3 linked regions of the Mus musculus genome follow. The main gene of each other region encodes a partner of the protein of the gene in region 2 in a complex. Links are inferred from orthologs where the notes say so. Each region holds a gene or a part of one and is shown on either strand. Other genes may lie near its edges.

What was found.
Region 1: the proteins of Tbc1d23 (region 2) and Stx16 are in contact, whole or in part, in a crystal structure (PDB 8QQF), measured with the Homo sapiens proteins. The link is inferred for Mus musculus from reciprocal best matches to the Homo sapiens genes TBC1D23 and STX16. Residues at the interface, in NP_001186127.1 of Homo sapiens: Leu638, Asn639, Ser640, Val641, Val642, Lys643, Ile644, Thr645, Ser646, Lys647, Lys648, Ser661, Ser662, Ala663, Ile666, Thr683, Lys687, Ile690, Met691; in NP_001001433.1 of Homo sapiens: Asp209, Asp210, Asn211, Thr212, Leu213, Tyr214, His215, Arg216, Phe218, Thr219, Glu220.
Region 3: the proteins of Tbc1d23 (region 2) and Fam91a1 are in contact, whole or in part, in a crystal structure (PDB 8JJ9), measured with the Homo sapiens proteins. The link is inferred for Mus musculus from reciprocal best matches to the Homo sapiens genes TBC1D23 and FAM91A1. Residues at the interface, in NP_001186127.1 of Homo sapiens: Arg533, His534, Val535, Ser536, Ser537, Asp539, Val541, Gly542, Lys543, Pro544, Tyr545, Arg546, Val548, Pro550, Val551, Phe552; in NP_659400.3 of Homo sapiens: Arg49, Glu60, Arg61, Tyr64, Asp84, Ile85, Lys88, Gly89, Leu90, Arg91, Ile92, Thr93, Phe95, Ser96, Ile159, Pro161, Tyr176, Ile177, Thr178, Glu179, Asp181, Ile182, Lys190, Asp194, Ile197, Asp198, Tyr216, Asn217, Lys218, Gly219.

What each region holds. Positions count from the first base shown.
Region 1 is NC_000068.7:174,075,118-174,080,582, forward strand, and holds the start of Stx16 (syntaxin-16), read left to right. Parts: upstream 1-1,933; 5' UTR 1,934-1,940; coding exon 1,941-2,072; intron 2,073-5,465. UniProt on the Homo sapiens protein: SNARE involved in vesicular transport from the late endosomes to the trans-Golgi network.
Region 2 is NC_000082.6:57,210,439-57,215,451, reverse strand, and holds part of Tbc1d23 (TBC1 domain family member 23), read left to right. Parts: intron 1-1,182; coding exon 1,183-1,288; intron 1,289-2,876; coding exon 2,877-3,081; intron 3,082-5,013. UniProt on the Homo sapiens protein: Putative Rab GTPase-activating protein which plays a role in vesicular trafficking. Involved in endosome-to-Golgi trafficking.
Region 3 is NC_000081.6:58,427,852-58,432,864, forward strand, and holds part of Fam91a1 (protein FAM91A1), read left to right. Parts: intron 1-2,140; coding exon 2,141-2,247; intron 2,248-2,327; coding exon 2,328-2,366; intron 2,367-2,810; coding exon 2,811-2,923; intron 2,924-3,354; coding exon 3,355-3,470; intron 3,471-4,663; coding exon 4,664-4,776; intron 4,777-5,013. UniProt on the Homo sapiens protein: As component of the WDR11 complex acts together with TBC1D23 to facilitate the golgin-mediated capture of vesicles generated using AP-1.

The sequences.
Region 1 (5,465 bases), on a different chromosome or scaffold from region 2:
CATCTCTTCTCTATCAGCTCGCACCGCTGCTCTCCGGGCCTCGATTCCTCCATGCATTCATTGTGTTATGTGTCTCAAAGATACTTTTCATACGGATACTGTTGCACACAAGCACAGGAGCACCCGCTCTTAAAAGCAAAAGCACCCGGGGCTCAAGAGCCTGACCCTACGCGCGGCTCCCACGCCTGCCTCCTGGCACCCGGGAGAGGCAGGGGACCCTCAAGTCAGGCCAAACTGTTCCCAATCTGATCCCAAAGCTGAGAGCAAGATTGAGGGCAAGACACCCCATAAAGTCGCTCTGCAGATATTGGTCTGTCATCCAGGCTTGCCGGTGACCCCAGCCTCCGGAGCTGCTGTTCACTGAGTGCGGCAGCTGCAGCCCTGGGGGGCCCTGGGAGACGCCCCCACCCCCCAAGCCAGGGTAGCAACGAGTGGGATGCATGGTTCCAGAGACTGGGAGGCGACCAGAAACCCCAGCTCGAGGAAACGTGGGCATAACCTCAACACAAAGTACTTTTTGGGGGAGTGGGGCTGAGGGGTTGTCTCTAAGTTTAGGAACCTTTCCCACTTGGGCACAACATTGTAGTGCCCAAGTGTAGATGCCTGACCACTCTTTATTGCCCACAGTAAGGCCAGCAAGGCCTAGCGCCCAAGCTTTTTTTATTATTATTTTTTTCTTTTTTCCCTGGCCTGGTTGTTTTTCGGATACTTTTTTTTTTCTCACAGTTTAAAGAAAAAAAATAAAAAAATAAAAAGGTAAGGCCATCTCAGCAGCGCCAGGCGCCTGCAGTGGAGCGTGCCTGGCCTGCAGAGGCAGACTTCTTCCACTTTTCCTCCGCCCCCGCGCAGGACTAGGCTCTGCAAGAGCCACGTTTCCACATTTCTGCCTGCCTGACAATCCTACTAGAAGTTTACAATTGCCTGGACCCCAGTGGTGGTCTTCGGCTCCAGGGCCAAGGTTTTGAAGCCGTTTTTTGGGGCCAGGACGCCTGCCCCAGAGTCTGTACACTCTTAGGAAAAGGGGAAGAAGGCGCCCCGGGAACTGTCCCAGAGAGGGCGGAGCACTCCCATCCCGGGGCAGGGCAATAAGGGAGCTCCCGCTCCCGGAACGTTGCAAGCAATCTCATGAATGTCGCAGGGGGGCACCCGCGAGGAACGGACAGGAAGAGGGCCGGGGGAATGCTAGAGCCCGGGACCACTGCACGGAAGCGGCCTTGGGCAGGGTTGCAGCCTGATCCCGGGATGGAGGGTGCCGGTGAAGAGGAGTGAGGAGGCTGGGGGAGGCAGGCCGTGAGGTCCTCGTGGAGGCCCGCAGCCTCCTGGCAGTGGAGAAGCAGGCCGCACAGGAAAGAGAGGGGTCAGGTCGGGCTGAGCCTCAGTAGGCTCAGGCGACTATATGGGAGCTGTAGACGCTCCTTTGTCGTTGTGGGCTCGGCCTGTTTGGAGCAGGCCTTTTGTGAGGAGAGTTAACCCAAACTCGGAGTTAGAGCCACATGCCGGGCACGCAGGCGCTCTGAGTTAGGGTTAGGGCGCCAGCACCTTTGGGGAGGTCTTAGGAAGTGAGTGGGTAGGGGTCTCTCCCATCCCCGAGCCGGATTGGCGCGTCAGGCGCTTGTGGATCCGAGCTGGGATTGGGGAGGGGTCTCCAGGACGTTTGATTTCGACGCTAGGATTGGGGGGATTCGAGTGCTTTGAGATCCGAGCCAGCCTTGGGGTAGGGGGAGTCAGGCAGTTGGAAAAGGCGAGGTGGTTATTTGGGGAGGGGTCTCCGCGCTTAGGCGGATTGCAAAATCGCGCCGTGAAAAGCCTAAGGCTTTGTCAAGAGAGATTTCTGTGCAAGAGTGGAATCAGCTAGGCCAGACCAAGAGAGAAAGTGAACAAATCAGGACTACAAGGGGGGGTGGGAGACCCTGAGAGGGGGGGTCACAAAGGGGGAGACAATGGCCACCAGGCGTTTAACCGACGCTTTCTTGTTGTTGCGGAATAATTCCATCCAAACCCGGCAGCTGTTAGCCGAGCAAGTGAGTAGTCACACCACCTCCAGCCCTCTGCATTCACGTAGCATTGCTGCGGTGAGTCTTCCTGGCGGCCTCTCCAGACACACACACCGTGTGCACTGCGGCTCTGCCTGTCTGTCTGTCTCTTGTCTGTCTCTCTGTCTAAAAAGAAAAAAAAAAAAGAAAAAAAGAACAACAACAATAACAAGGCGACGACGACTAGGAGTGTGATACAGAAGGAAGTGGAGCACGGCCATGGCTTATGGGGCACTTGCAACCCCCAATGGGGACCACAGTATCAACCCCTGCCCTGCCTTCTCACTTCCTGGGCCTCCTGGTCCTCCTCCCCCACCATCCGTCGGGCAGCCTCGATTTACATATGTTTTAACACGAGGACTTGGAACCTAGGCCTTTCTCCAACCTTCTTTTTGTTTTGTTCTGTTCTGTTTGGCACTCCCCCCCCCCCCCCCTGCAATGGCCTCACTTTGGTTCTGTGGGCCAGGTGGGTGGTTAGCTGACTCAAATCCTTGCAGACCCCCCCCCCCCAGGAAGGAGTGTGTGTGTGTGTGTGTGTGTGTGTGTGTGTGTGTGTGGTCTGCTCAGCTCAGCTCATTTTCTTTCCCACTATTTTTCTTCCAATGGCCCTAGTTCTCGGTGTGGCCATGTACACTAGGAGTAATTGCTTTGCTGCCCCCCCCCCCCGCCCTCCCCCCTCCGAGGACTCATGTTGGTGAGATTGCAAGGTGCTAGGCGCTTCATTTTCCATTTCCCACACAGGAAATTAAGCTTCTCCATTCGAACTTTTTTTTAAAAAAACAAAACAAAACAAAAAAAGGAACCAACATGATGCGGATGTGAAAATTAATCCCCCAAAATAGCACATGGCTTTTGATTTTATTGACCAGAACTTCACTTCGCCTAGCAGTGTAGGGTTTTGTTATTGTTGTTGTTCTTTTTCAAAGCAATGTTCCAGTATGATTGCTGTATTTGGTTTGTTTTTGATGGAGGCTTTGGCTTCCAGAGCCTCAGTTTCCTGCTCTCTCAGATAGGGGGCGGGTCTGAATGGTGCAGCCAGATGAATATTGTTAGCTTTGTAATAATACCTTTAATTGAAAAGGGAAGGTTTGAATGGAAGCAGCCTTGAAACATGGGGGAATGCACGGTCACCCCACGACCTTAGGGGCTGCATTTGAAACATAGTTCGTGAAACGCTGCAGCTTTCCCGCCTTTTAAACAGTTGCCTTTTAATTTTTTCCTTTTATCATTTATGGAAGTGCTAATGAAAAACTAAGCTGTGTATCGTGATTGTCACTGTCTTGCCAGGACAGTTGTCCCTGTTTAGGTCACGGTGGAAAATATGTTTGACCATATTATTCACAGAAAAGGGATTTTTTATTCTGTGCAAGCAGTTTTAAGGATAAAAGGATGCAGGATGTTAACTTCGGTCCCAAGGCATAGAAAACTAGCTCGGAGTGTGTTGGGGCTTTTGTTTACATTTACATTTGAAGGATGTTTTACATTTTTAGACTGAAAGAAATAATATTACATAGAAATAAGTAGGAAACAAATCTTAGCATGGAAATGTGTTCATTCTAATGTGGTTTTTGAAAAGAGTCTCCAGAAATAAACCGGAGAAATAGTGAATGAATATAATCTGTGGGCCTTCAGTTATGTTAAATAAAGGTCTCCTGTTCTTTATGACTTAATTTTATGCTACCTCATGGGGGAAAACAAACAAAACAAAACAGAGCCAAACCCACGCTAAAGCTTCCAGGGTCTCTGTTTAAATTGATGAAAAAGATACTGTTTGGTTTTTAAATTTTAATTCTGTAAAGTTCTAAGTAGCTTTAATCTTTAGATTACCTGAGAGAAAAAATTTGACCCTTAATTCAGAGAGTTTAAAACACAGTATCTTGGACCGGCACCTTTTCAAAAACACGTTGCTGTGTCCAATTACTTTTTAAATATTTTTCTAAATTAGACAATTTGAACATATCTGTTTGTGTATCTATCTATCTATATATGGAATAAAATAATTTAAAATGTTTAAAATAATATGTGGTTTGGAAAAGCAGGCAATGTTAAGAAATATACAGCTATATTTAACAAATTCAGACAGTTTTTTTGAAAGTGATTTATAAGTACAGCTAAAATTCATGTTGAAGTCAAGAACATTAAAAATATTTTCATATGTCACACTACTGAAAATACTGGATGCTTTTATTAGCCGGTGCTTCTGGAATTTTTCTTAGATAACTAAAAAGGACTCAAGTCCGTGGAAATACCTGTGTGTTCAGTTTAGATTGCCTCCCCCCACCAAAAAAAAAAAACAAAAAAACAAAAAACAAAACAAAAAAACCCCAGCTTTTTTTCAGTCCAACAAAAATAGTCTACCTAAATTACAATTTAAAAAACAAAAGTGCATTTTCATATTTCTGCATTTTTCTCTGTGTTTCCGACTGTTAATTTTCAATTTCTTCATAAGGTTTTTCCACAAACTATTTCTGCACACAAAATAATCAAGAATATCAAGATATTAACAGGATAGAGATTACAGTTTTTAATAATTCTTTTGGAAGTCAAAAAAGCATTATAAATATTTTGTAAAAAGAAAAGATATGCTTAAGACAATTTTTGAAAACTACAACATCATGCATACAGTGCTTCTAGCTCAGAACAAATTTGAGAACCACATTTTTGTCTTGCAGATTTCAAAATCATGTAGTAAATCAAAAGTTTATTGATCAGCTTTGAATATGGACAAGATATTAGAAATTGTAATTAGATTTGTTAATTGTACTAGATATCTTGAAATGCTTAATACTAAAGGAGCGCTCACTTTATATATTCTGCTTTCAAAGGTAAAGGGAGCGGGAAAGCTGAGCTCCTGACTGAGCTCCAGAGGTGCAGCTTACCCCAGGGACTTTAGCCACATTACTTTCCTATTTTCTTTTTTCCAGCAGATTTTTCAGCTTGGAAAAATTGCAAATAAAAACTTAAAAGTATAAACTTGTCTTAGTCACCTAAGACAAAAGAGACAATTTGTAGATGCATATTTAAACTTAGATAATTAAAAAGGAAGTAACCAAGCCAGAGAATTTGATTTTTAAAATACATTACCTGGAAATTTAAATTTCTAATTAGAAGACCAAACTGTAGACATTGATTTTGGTGTGTGTGCTGTCTCATGTGTAACCAAATGTAAGTATCTAAAATAATAGATTATTTAAATTTTAATATCAAGCTTTTATGTCCTTATATGAAAACAGTACTACAGAAATGGCTTGCTGGGAGGTTTGTGTATGTGCCTGTCTCACACAACTCAAAACAAACCACAGTGGAAGCCTGAACTTGTAAAAGCATTAAGCCCATATTTTTTAAATAGTAGTTTGAAGAAAAAGCTGTAAGTTTGTTGGTGATGGTTGCTGTAGGAGACCGTGCATGCAATGTAGACTTACAGCTAGGTGC
Region 2 (5,013 bases):
CCCAAAGCTGGGAATTTCTAAATGAGGCCATGACTTGGGTTATCTGCCCTTAAGCAAACTCAAATGTATAATTGGAACAGGATAAACTCAGAAGTAGTTGAAAAACTTGACTGGCCAGGTAACAGATTCAAGGTCTCTTTTTCTGATACATTTAGAACTCTTTACAAATGTTGTTTAAAGATAAGGGATCATACAGGGTACACCTCTAGAGCAATAGAACTCAGGAAATAAGGTCGATTGATTAAAATAACCTTCTCCTACTTAGTAGCTTGGATGATCAAAGGATAGAAATGCAAGTTAGGTATTAGGATTTGCTATAGATAAAAAATTAGTTTAAATATTTTTCTATTTGTCTGGAGTGCCTTAAAACTTCAAATACTGCCAGTCTAAAAGCAGGCTGTCATATAATGGATATGTTTGCTTTGGCAGAGACATTCTTTAGATTCTTTGAATTGGAGTTATAGGGCTAATAATAAAATTAAAATCTGTTGTATTTGTGTTTTTTAATTGTGGCTGCACGTGTAATCCACAAGTAATGAAAAATGGAACACATGTCCTGAGTCACAATGATATAATGTGTGCTGCTTGGGTAACCATTACTCTGTCTTGGTTCTGGGAAACGGAGTAAGTAAAGGAGTAACCCGATTGCTAGTCAGAGCTGCAAGATTCCTCCAAGCACTGCTTCCGACTCCACACAGTAAGCTCTGTGATAGCCAGGGCTACCCAGAGAGACACTGTCTGAAACAACAAACAAACGAACAAACAAACAAACGAATGAGTAAGTAAGGGAATACATAAAATAGCTTTTACACGTACTTGAAAAAATTTACAAAATAACATTTTCTCAGTTCATTAAATATTCTTTATGTTTTTAAAATTGTACATGGTATAGGTATATTTTTATTTGACAGTATCATATGTTTAGTTTTTACATTTCAGAAAAGTTGGCTTTAAATAAAGCCATGTTTGTAAGTACACAAATATTTTGTAATTAATTCTCCCCACTGAATCAACATGAAATAGGAAAGTCTGATAAAGGAGCCTTTTGTTACATGGTGGTGGGGACACTTGATGATGTGTGGATACTTAGCTTGTAGTCTTTTGTTATTATTCCTAAAGTCTTGCCTTCCTTAACAGCATATTTTTAATATTTCTAATATTTTAATACTTTTTTTCTTCCAGATTGCTCTGAACGTTGCAGGGAAAGGTGATAGTTTGGCATCATGGGATGGTATTTTAGACTTGCCTGAGCAGAACACTATTCATAAAGATTGCCTTGAGTTTATCGGTAAGTTTGATAACCGTGAAAAATGTTATAATTTGGGATATCTTAAATTTGTAAATGTCTTGTAAATAGTTCTGCCCTTTAATAAACAAAATCTTGAGATACATAATTTTGAGAAAGAGCCAGGTTTTACTGTTTATTTTATAATATTGATTTTTCTTACACATTTATAGTTTTGTTATCCTCTTTACCTTGTTTCTCAGAATTGTAGGTTCACGTGATTATTTGCAGCCTTCAATTAGAAGAGCTTGTGTTCTGAATGTTTATTTATAAATAACAGGTCATGAGCTACTGTTTTCAGTTGTTACAAATCATAGATGAATAGTTTTCTAACCACCCTACAAAATCTGTGATAATTGATGGTACAGGTTAAGCTAATTCAATTTATACCTGTCTCTCTAATTCATTTATAATATCTTGGCCTCTTTGATTTTCTGTTACGTCTTAGTTAGCTAATGCATTGGTTAAATGGCTTCTGGGCACTGACTGTTCAGAAGCTGCAGTTTCTAGAATGTAGCTCAGTGGTGGCGCGCTTGCCTGGAATATATGTATGCAAGTTCTATCACCAGCTCTATTGACTGTCAGGCAGACAGACTGACAGACTTTATTACTAGTATGGACAAAAGAAAGGAAATTTGGACCAGAAATTTGAAGACTTTACATGATATGTATCCTATATTTCTGAGATCACCTTCATCTAAATAATGATGATATAGTTGTATTCATATTTAGTTTGTAGTTTATCTGTTTATTCTGTATGAGAGCTATCAGTATGAAAAGTCAGAGTTAGTTTTGCATGTGGATGTATGATTAGCATTATTATAAGATAAAAACTAAGATTTAAAATGAACAAAGGGAAGGAATAAAATACTGGATTTAATGGTAGAGAATGAATTACCCTTCTGCTTGCCAAAGCTGCACATGGTGGAGCAATTGGCAGTCTCCTTCGGAAGCATCCTTTGGCTTTCCAGCAGCTTGAGCTATGCCTGTCACTCCCTCCTGCCCTGCTTCACACTGGCCACTCCTGTGTTTAGCATACATATGGTCAATATTACTGAGTACCATTTGTTAGTAACTGTCTTCTGTCTTCCCTTTCTCTCAGGGCTAGGTAAGAAAACACATACACGAAACTGATAGTTGTTTTGTAATATCTGTCTTGCTTTAAGTTAAAACGAAGATTGGGAGACTATATTCAGCATGCAGTATTTCACTGTATGATGACGTCCTCATGTAACACAGTGCCGTGTACAATGAATATACACGATGGCAGCTTTAAAATGAAAACTAAAATGTTACAAAGGACATTGTTTACGTTTTTTCTTATGCTTTGCGCATGTGAGCCAATGTCTGTTAAATAGGAGACGGGCTAGACATAGCTCAGTGGGGAAACCTTTACCTAGCATATGTAAAGCCATGATCTGGTCTCACTACTACAAAAAATAAATATGAAGCAGACAATCACGAGACAGATTGCTCAGTGTTTCTGTTTTTTCATAGTTTAATACACTCACATGATGAGCGTGTGATGTAGTGTGCCCAGTCGCTAAGCCCTGTAGTTCCCTGATAACTTTAGTTTGATGCTTTATTCTAGAGCAGCTCTCAGTGCCAGAGGAGAAGGCAGCAGAATTACTCCTGGATATTGAATCTGTAATTACTTTTTACTGTAAATCACGCAGCGTTAAATACAGCACATCCCTGAGCTGGATTCATCTACTGAAACCATTGATCTGTCTCCAGCTGCCTCGCAGCGACCTATACAACTGCTTCTATGCCGTCATGAATAAGTACATTCCCAGGTAAAGTATGACTCAGTGGCTGTTAGAAAAGTCCGTTTCACTTTGAAATAAAGTTTTTTAGTTTTTTTGTTTTTGATGGTAAGGTAAAGCGGTCAAGTAATTTCTGAGGTTGCCTGAGGTATAGTTGCTCCTTGACTTTGTTCTTGTGACAAATACTTAACATTTTCATTTATCATGTATGTGTATGGGTGTTTTGCCTGCATGCATCTATACCACATGAGTGCCTGAGGAGGCAAGAAATGGGTGTCAGATTTCTGGACGTAAATTATGCTGGAAAAATACACTCACAGTGAGCTGCACTCCAATCTCTTGTTGAGGCTTTTTATTGGATAATGATATTAAGAGTCTATTCATCGCCTTTAATCCCAGCACTTGGGAGGCAGAGGCAGGCGGATTTCTGAGTTCAAGGCCAGCCTGGTCTACAAAGTGAGTTCCAGGACAGCCAGGACTATACAGAGAAACCCTGTTTCGAAAAACAAAAAGGAAAAAAAAAAAAAAAAAGAAAAGAAAAAAGAGTCTATTCATATGTTTATTGGTAAGTCCTTTATTGTCTTTGGCCACAAAACAGATCTATAGACAAAAATGATCTAGAGTAGAAAGAAACGTTGATTTGTCTGAAAGCCCCAGAAGTTTAAGTCTCAGCACGCTAAACCCATGCATATGTTTTCGAAAGCTCCCTAGAGATCATTGTTAGACCACAGCAGTGAACTTCTGTGCTTCCTTGAACTGTACTCCTCTGTAGAAAGCAAACAGGCTACAGTCCGACAACGCCGAAATCGGGACTCCACGTTAGGACTAACTCTGGCATACTATACCTGTCATCTGCTTGTGCTTTATGACTTCTTATGGGCATCTCTCATTTTAAGTCGTGGTGGTGGCACACACCTTTAATCTTAACACTCAGAAGGCAGAGGCAAGAAGACCTGTGAGTTCAAGGCCAGCCTGGTCTACAGAGTGATTTCCAGAACAGCCAGGGCTACACAGAGAAACCCTGTCACACACACACAAAAAAAAACAACCAACTAGCCAACATCAGCAAAACCAGAGAGAGAGAGAGAGAGGAGAGAGAGAGTTTGTGTGTGTGTGTGTGTGTGTGTGTGTGACATGGGTAGTTATGTTGCGCTGAGTCACACTCTGCCTTGTCACATTCTTCCAGTTCCTATTTCTGTGAGTTCTGTATTTAACATGGCACTCTAGCTATTGCTGGTAGAAAGAACATTGAACACTGAGCCCACAGACTGCTTATGGAAGAATCCCTTTTCAATATATCCTCTAATGACTGGATTACAAGATGGGTAGAGCTGTATCCAGCACAAGCCCTTGCCGTTAGAGTGACATTGCAGTATACAGACAGCCCTTAAATGAGTGCTGTTTCAGTGGCTCCCTCCCAGGGATGTTCACTGGTCCAGAAGATGAGGCCAGTTACCTTATGTTCCAGTGGTTTCCTGCCTCTGTGCTCTACCTTAGCATTCGATTGCTCTGCAGTTACCCAACTGGGAACGTGTTCAGACTTAGAACTACTCTCACAGGGATAAATCCAGTTCTGTCTCTGGCCTTCTGTGCACTGCTGTTTGTAATACCTAAGTGGGGAGATTTGAGCGGTGGGCATAGGAACTGGAGAGTTACGGCTCAGCAGGTAAGAGAATAGACTCTTTTTTCTTTTCTTTTTTTTTTTTTTCTTTTTGTTTTTCGAAACAGGCAGCTCATGCAGAGGACCCAGGTTCTACTCTCAGTGTTCCATGGCAGCTCCAACTGTCCCCCAAAACAAAAATAACAAGGTAGTGATAGCTGAAAGTCATAACAAACCATGGCAGGGATATAAAATATTATATTTACATAAGTAATTTTCATTTATTCCCTTTGGATAGCATTTTTACTTATTTTTACTTTTGTAGTTCTGAGAATTGAACCTATGTCTTCACACATACCAAG
Region 3 (5,013 bases), on a different chromosome or scaffold from region 2:
ACAGAAATTGTGGTAGTGGTTTCTTCACTTTTGGGAATTTGCAAGATTTATTCTAGTCCCCATTCTTATCTGATTCTTATCTTAGCTGACTTAACTCATTTGAAATTTACTCAAAAGTTGGATTAGATTGGATTTATTCATTTCAGTCTGTTTTAACTGCTATTTGAACACCTCTTTGTTTTGAGGTTCTAATGTAGCCCAAGATCACCTCTCTTTCCCTCCTGTACTTTTTTTTTTTTTTTTTTCTCAAAAAGAAGACCCTGTCTCATAGCAGGTGTCCTGGTCTTTTGACTCTTACAGTCTTTTTTTTCTATATGTGTGTTTTACTGCTCCAGTGTCTATATTTTCCTTTATTTCTTTAAAAAGTACTTAAAGATTTTCATTGGAGAATTATATAATATACATACACACAAAATTCTAAATAATTTGCAGTCTGTCTGAAACATGTTTTTATATTTGAGATGAAATAATGCTTTTATTGTATTTGGCTGACCAGTATCTTTTATTTCAGAAAGTGTTTTTATTATTATGTATTTACATGTACACGTGTATGTACTACAGTATATGTACCTAGAGCTGGAGTTGCAAGAACAACCATGTTCTCAACCACTGAGCCATCTCTCCAGCCCAGTGGCCAGGGTCTTAGAAGGACAAATGCACAGCTGGCTTCTGACCCATAGCTTAAGCTGGATTTTACTAAATACTTTATGTTAATTTAATACACATTAGAAACTGATTTTATATTTCTGTAAGTTTTCTCATGTTATTATCCAGATATAAATTATATGTTGAAATGTCTAACTTCTTAGGACCTTAGTATCACCAAGGAAGGGATAATTGTAATACTGTACAACTTGTACGGCTAAAAGATGAAGTGGTGAATGCATTGTATTTGGCAGGTGTTCAGCACCTAGCAAGTATTCATTCAGGAAATGCTTGGACACAGCAGTACTGTAGCATAAGTTTTAACTTGTTAGGTAGGGAATTGCTAAAACATTTCTTTTTTCTTTTCTTTTTTTTTTAAAGATGTATATATTTATTTTATGTATGTGAATATACTGTTGCTGTCTTCAGACACACCAGAAGAGGGCATCAGATCCCATTACAGATGGTTGTGAGCCACCATGTCGTTGCTGGGAATTGAACTCAGGACCTCTGAAGTAGTAGTCAGTGCCCTTAACTGCTGAGCCATCTTTCCAGCCCTGCTAAACATTTCTAAAAAGGAACCCTTAGTTTTTATTACTGGAAAAAATGTAGTGGCCTGTGCTCTCCACTTTTCTGTGAGATTTCATTTTTTTACATTTTCCTTTGTGTATATGAGTGCATATGTTCCATGGACATGTTGTGTTTGTGTGAAAGGAAGTCATAGGGCGCCTTTCAGGAGTCTAATTCTCTCTGCCATGTGGGTGACTGAGTGTGGGTTGTTGGGCTTGCCATCCATCCAGTGCTGTTTTGCTGGCTCTTTCCCAGGATGTTTTGAAGGGATGCGTACACATGGAAGAATGTGAACAAAAGCACACGCCTTCTTTACTGTACTAGGCAGAGTTTGCTGCTAAATCAGATGAAAGCATTTGGACAAAACAGAGAGAGAGAGAGAGAGAGAGAGAGAGAGAGAGAGAGCTTGAATATGAATGGACACTCTACCACAGTGGCTGCTGTGTGCTGGTCTTGACCTTTGGCCCCTTAGTGACCTCTGCGGACTTGTTTCTTCTCAGGGTGAACTAGAGATGGGGGAGGCAGCCAACCTTCCTCCACTTGTTCCCAAGGCGTCTGTTAACTCTCTGACAGTCAGTCTTCCTTCTGCTGCACATTTTCTTGGCCTATAGGCATCAAAAGCACCGCTCTCTCAACCCTTCTGAGGCTCAGCCCCGCTCGTGTCTTTTCACTAAGGCTGAACGGTCTAGTATTCTCTTTGCCTCAGTAATTGAGAGTTCCTTGTGAACCTTCAGACAGCTCTGTGTAGGTGATGTTGTGTGGGCCTTAATTGTGGGAACTTCTGAAAGGTTGCTATGGAGTGGATGAATTGCATAGAAGCTGTATTCAATTTCTGAAAGATTTCTCTTTTTGCACAGGCATTTGAGTTACACTCTGTTGTTTTATGAAACCCAGTGCTGAGAAAAGTCCGTTTTGTTTATTTCAGTCCCCCCTCTGGAAGGCTTTGTAATGAATCGGGTACAAGGTGATTATTTTGAAACCCTACTCTATAAGATATTTGTGTCTATAGATGAACACACTAATGTTGCAGAGGTAAGTGTGGCAAAAACATTCTTGAGAGGACTTACTGATAATTCTGAGATGGAACGGTAATTTTCACTTTTGTTTTCTAGCTTGCAAATGTCCTTGAGATAGACTTATCGCTGGTGAAGGTATGTTTTTGTTTTTGTTTTTTTTTTTTTTAACCCGTTGTAATGTGAGTACTGGGTGGATTTTGCTAGTTGATTTTCATCTTGATACATTACTTACTGATTCTTATTGGCTGCTTGAGGGAGTCTGCATGGTAGAGGGATGGTTGCAGAGCGAGAAAGGGCAAGGTGGAAGCCCTTAGTCTGTTTTCCACCAGGTGGGATGAAATAGAGCACTCACATGAATGTGGGCACCGAGAAGCAGCCTGGTCAGTATCTTGTTAAAGCTGTAACTCCAGCCTCCTTAGTAGAGGATCTAGGGACCGCAGTCCTGGCTCAGACTGTTCTGTGGGCACGGTACAGGAGGAACTCTGGCACATCACCAGAGGCTTAGTTTTGGAAGGTAATTTTTTCCTTCAAATAATCTGATGTCTGTTTTAATGCTAATTTTCCTTCTGTTCCTTTCAGAATGCTGTTTCAATGTATTGCCGATTGGGCTTTGCCCATAAGAAGGGACAAGTGATAAATTTGGATCAACTTCATTCGTCATGGAAGAATGTTCCATCTGTGAATAGACTAAAGTAATTCATTTGTCCTTTATGACAGTTTCCTTTTGAAAAGAATTTTTACATGCAGAAAGGTTTTTTTGTTTTTGTTTTTATTTTTATTAATTTACTCTGCCAATTGAGGTGAATCCTGTATACTAGTGCCTCAGTCATCTGGGTATGATGGATCTTCTGTATAATCTGATGGAGAGCAAGAACTCGTTGTTTAGGAAAAAAGCGCATACACTATTTTATAAACTTAAGAAATGAGAAGAACGTGTGCCTGGGTTTTAGTCACAGTGCTCTTTATGGCCAGAGCAGATTGAGAACTCGTCTCAGTCTCAGATGTGTGCATTGGCTTATGTTCGGGTGGATTGTTCACAGTTGCAAGTACCAACTTCAGTAGCTGTGTTCACGTGAGATCATTTATGTGCTTTTAAAAACATGAATGTATTTTTCATTAATAGGAGCACATTAGACCCACAAAAGATGCTCTTATCGTGGGATGGCGGGGAGAGTAGGAGTCCCGTGCAAGAAGCCTCTTCTGCTACTGACACAGACACAAATAGTCAAGAGGATCCAGGTCAGCAGCCGCTCACCTCAGTGTGCTTTACAGTCTGTCTGTCGGTGCGCCCTATGTCCAGACACAGCCCTGCATCTCCTTTATAGCTCTGCTTTTGGCTTCCTATGTGGTGTGCAGTCTGAGTCCTTACCAGTGTTGTGAACACCGAAGGTATAGGACAAATAAGAACGTGGCATTTACTGTCAGGAAGTTAAGTTGAGGGAGGAAGGGATGGAGTATAGCCCCCCAACATAAATAGTCGTAGTGTCTGGGGCTGCAAAAATAAACAAAGTCCCAACCTTTGCCTTCAGGAATAGGATGTGGTTAGAGCGGCTGTGAATTCACTGGTCACACAGGAAAGGCCATGTTAGCCAGAGAGAGAGTGCCAGCTAAGGCCAAAGGGAGACGCTGAGGGTACTCGGAGCCTGGGCTGGCCTTTCTCCTGTTCTGCCTGTCACCTGGGCCACACACTCAGGAACATAAGCCTGTTGGTAGTGCTTATTGAGCTGATGATTACCAAGGATGTTTGTTTATGGTTTTCAAGGAAATTAACTGTGCTTGTAGGCTTTTCTCTTGCTCTGATAAAACACCAAGACCAAAAGCAACTTGAGGAGGAAAAGGGTTTATTTGAGCTTCCAGCTCACAGCCCGTTGTGAAGGGAAGCCAAGACAGAAACAAGCAGGAGTTCAGGCAAAGGCCCCTGAGGAGTGCTGCTCACTGGTTTGCTCCCCAGGCTCCAGCTCTTTCTCATACTTCCCAGGACCATCTGCACAGAGCTGGGCCCTCCCACATCAATCAGTAGTCAAGAAAATGCCCCACTTATGTGCCTTCAGGCTAGTGTCTCAGAGATATTTTCTCAATTGAGATTCTCCCTTCTTCAGTGATCCTGGCTTGTATCAGTTTGATTTGACAAACTAGCGCAAGAACACAAATCTAAATGTCTTAAAAAAAAAAAAAAGAAAGAAAGAAATGGTACATATCTGTAATCTTTGTACCAGGGAGCTAGATGCAGGAGGATTGGAATTCAAGGCCAGTCCTTGCTACATAGTGAGACCCTGATGCAAAATACTTGAATATCTTAAGACTATGGTATTGGTTATATTTAATTAAGTTTGTTTGGCTGTTCAGATAAAGCTGAAGCAAAAACTTAGTTCAGAAGATAAGCAAAGAAGGCTTTCATTGACTTGATTCCATATTTCATTTTTTTCTTTCAGCTGACACGGCCAGTGTGAGCAGTTTGAGTCTGTCCACTGGGTACACAAAGCGAATTGCATTCCTGTTTGACTCCACTCTGACTGCATTCTTAATGATGGGAAACCTTTCACCGGTGAGTGGTATGCTGTGGGTGTAACGAGGTTTCAGTAAAGATAAGATATAAAGTCATTTGCTGCTGTGCAAATGTCTTTAAGATTAGAACAGGTCCTGAAAGCAGCCAGCTGTGTTACATTCCTGTGAGCAGTGTGAGTGTCCAATGAGGAGTGAAGCACACGCTCACGTTGCCTGTCCTTCAGTTTTAATGTAGTAGAAGCATAGTAAATGTTGTTAGCATAAAAAAAGGAAAAGC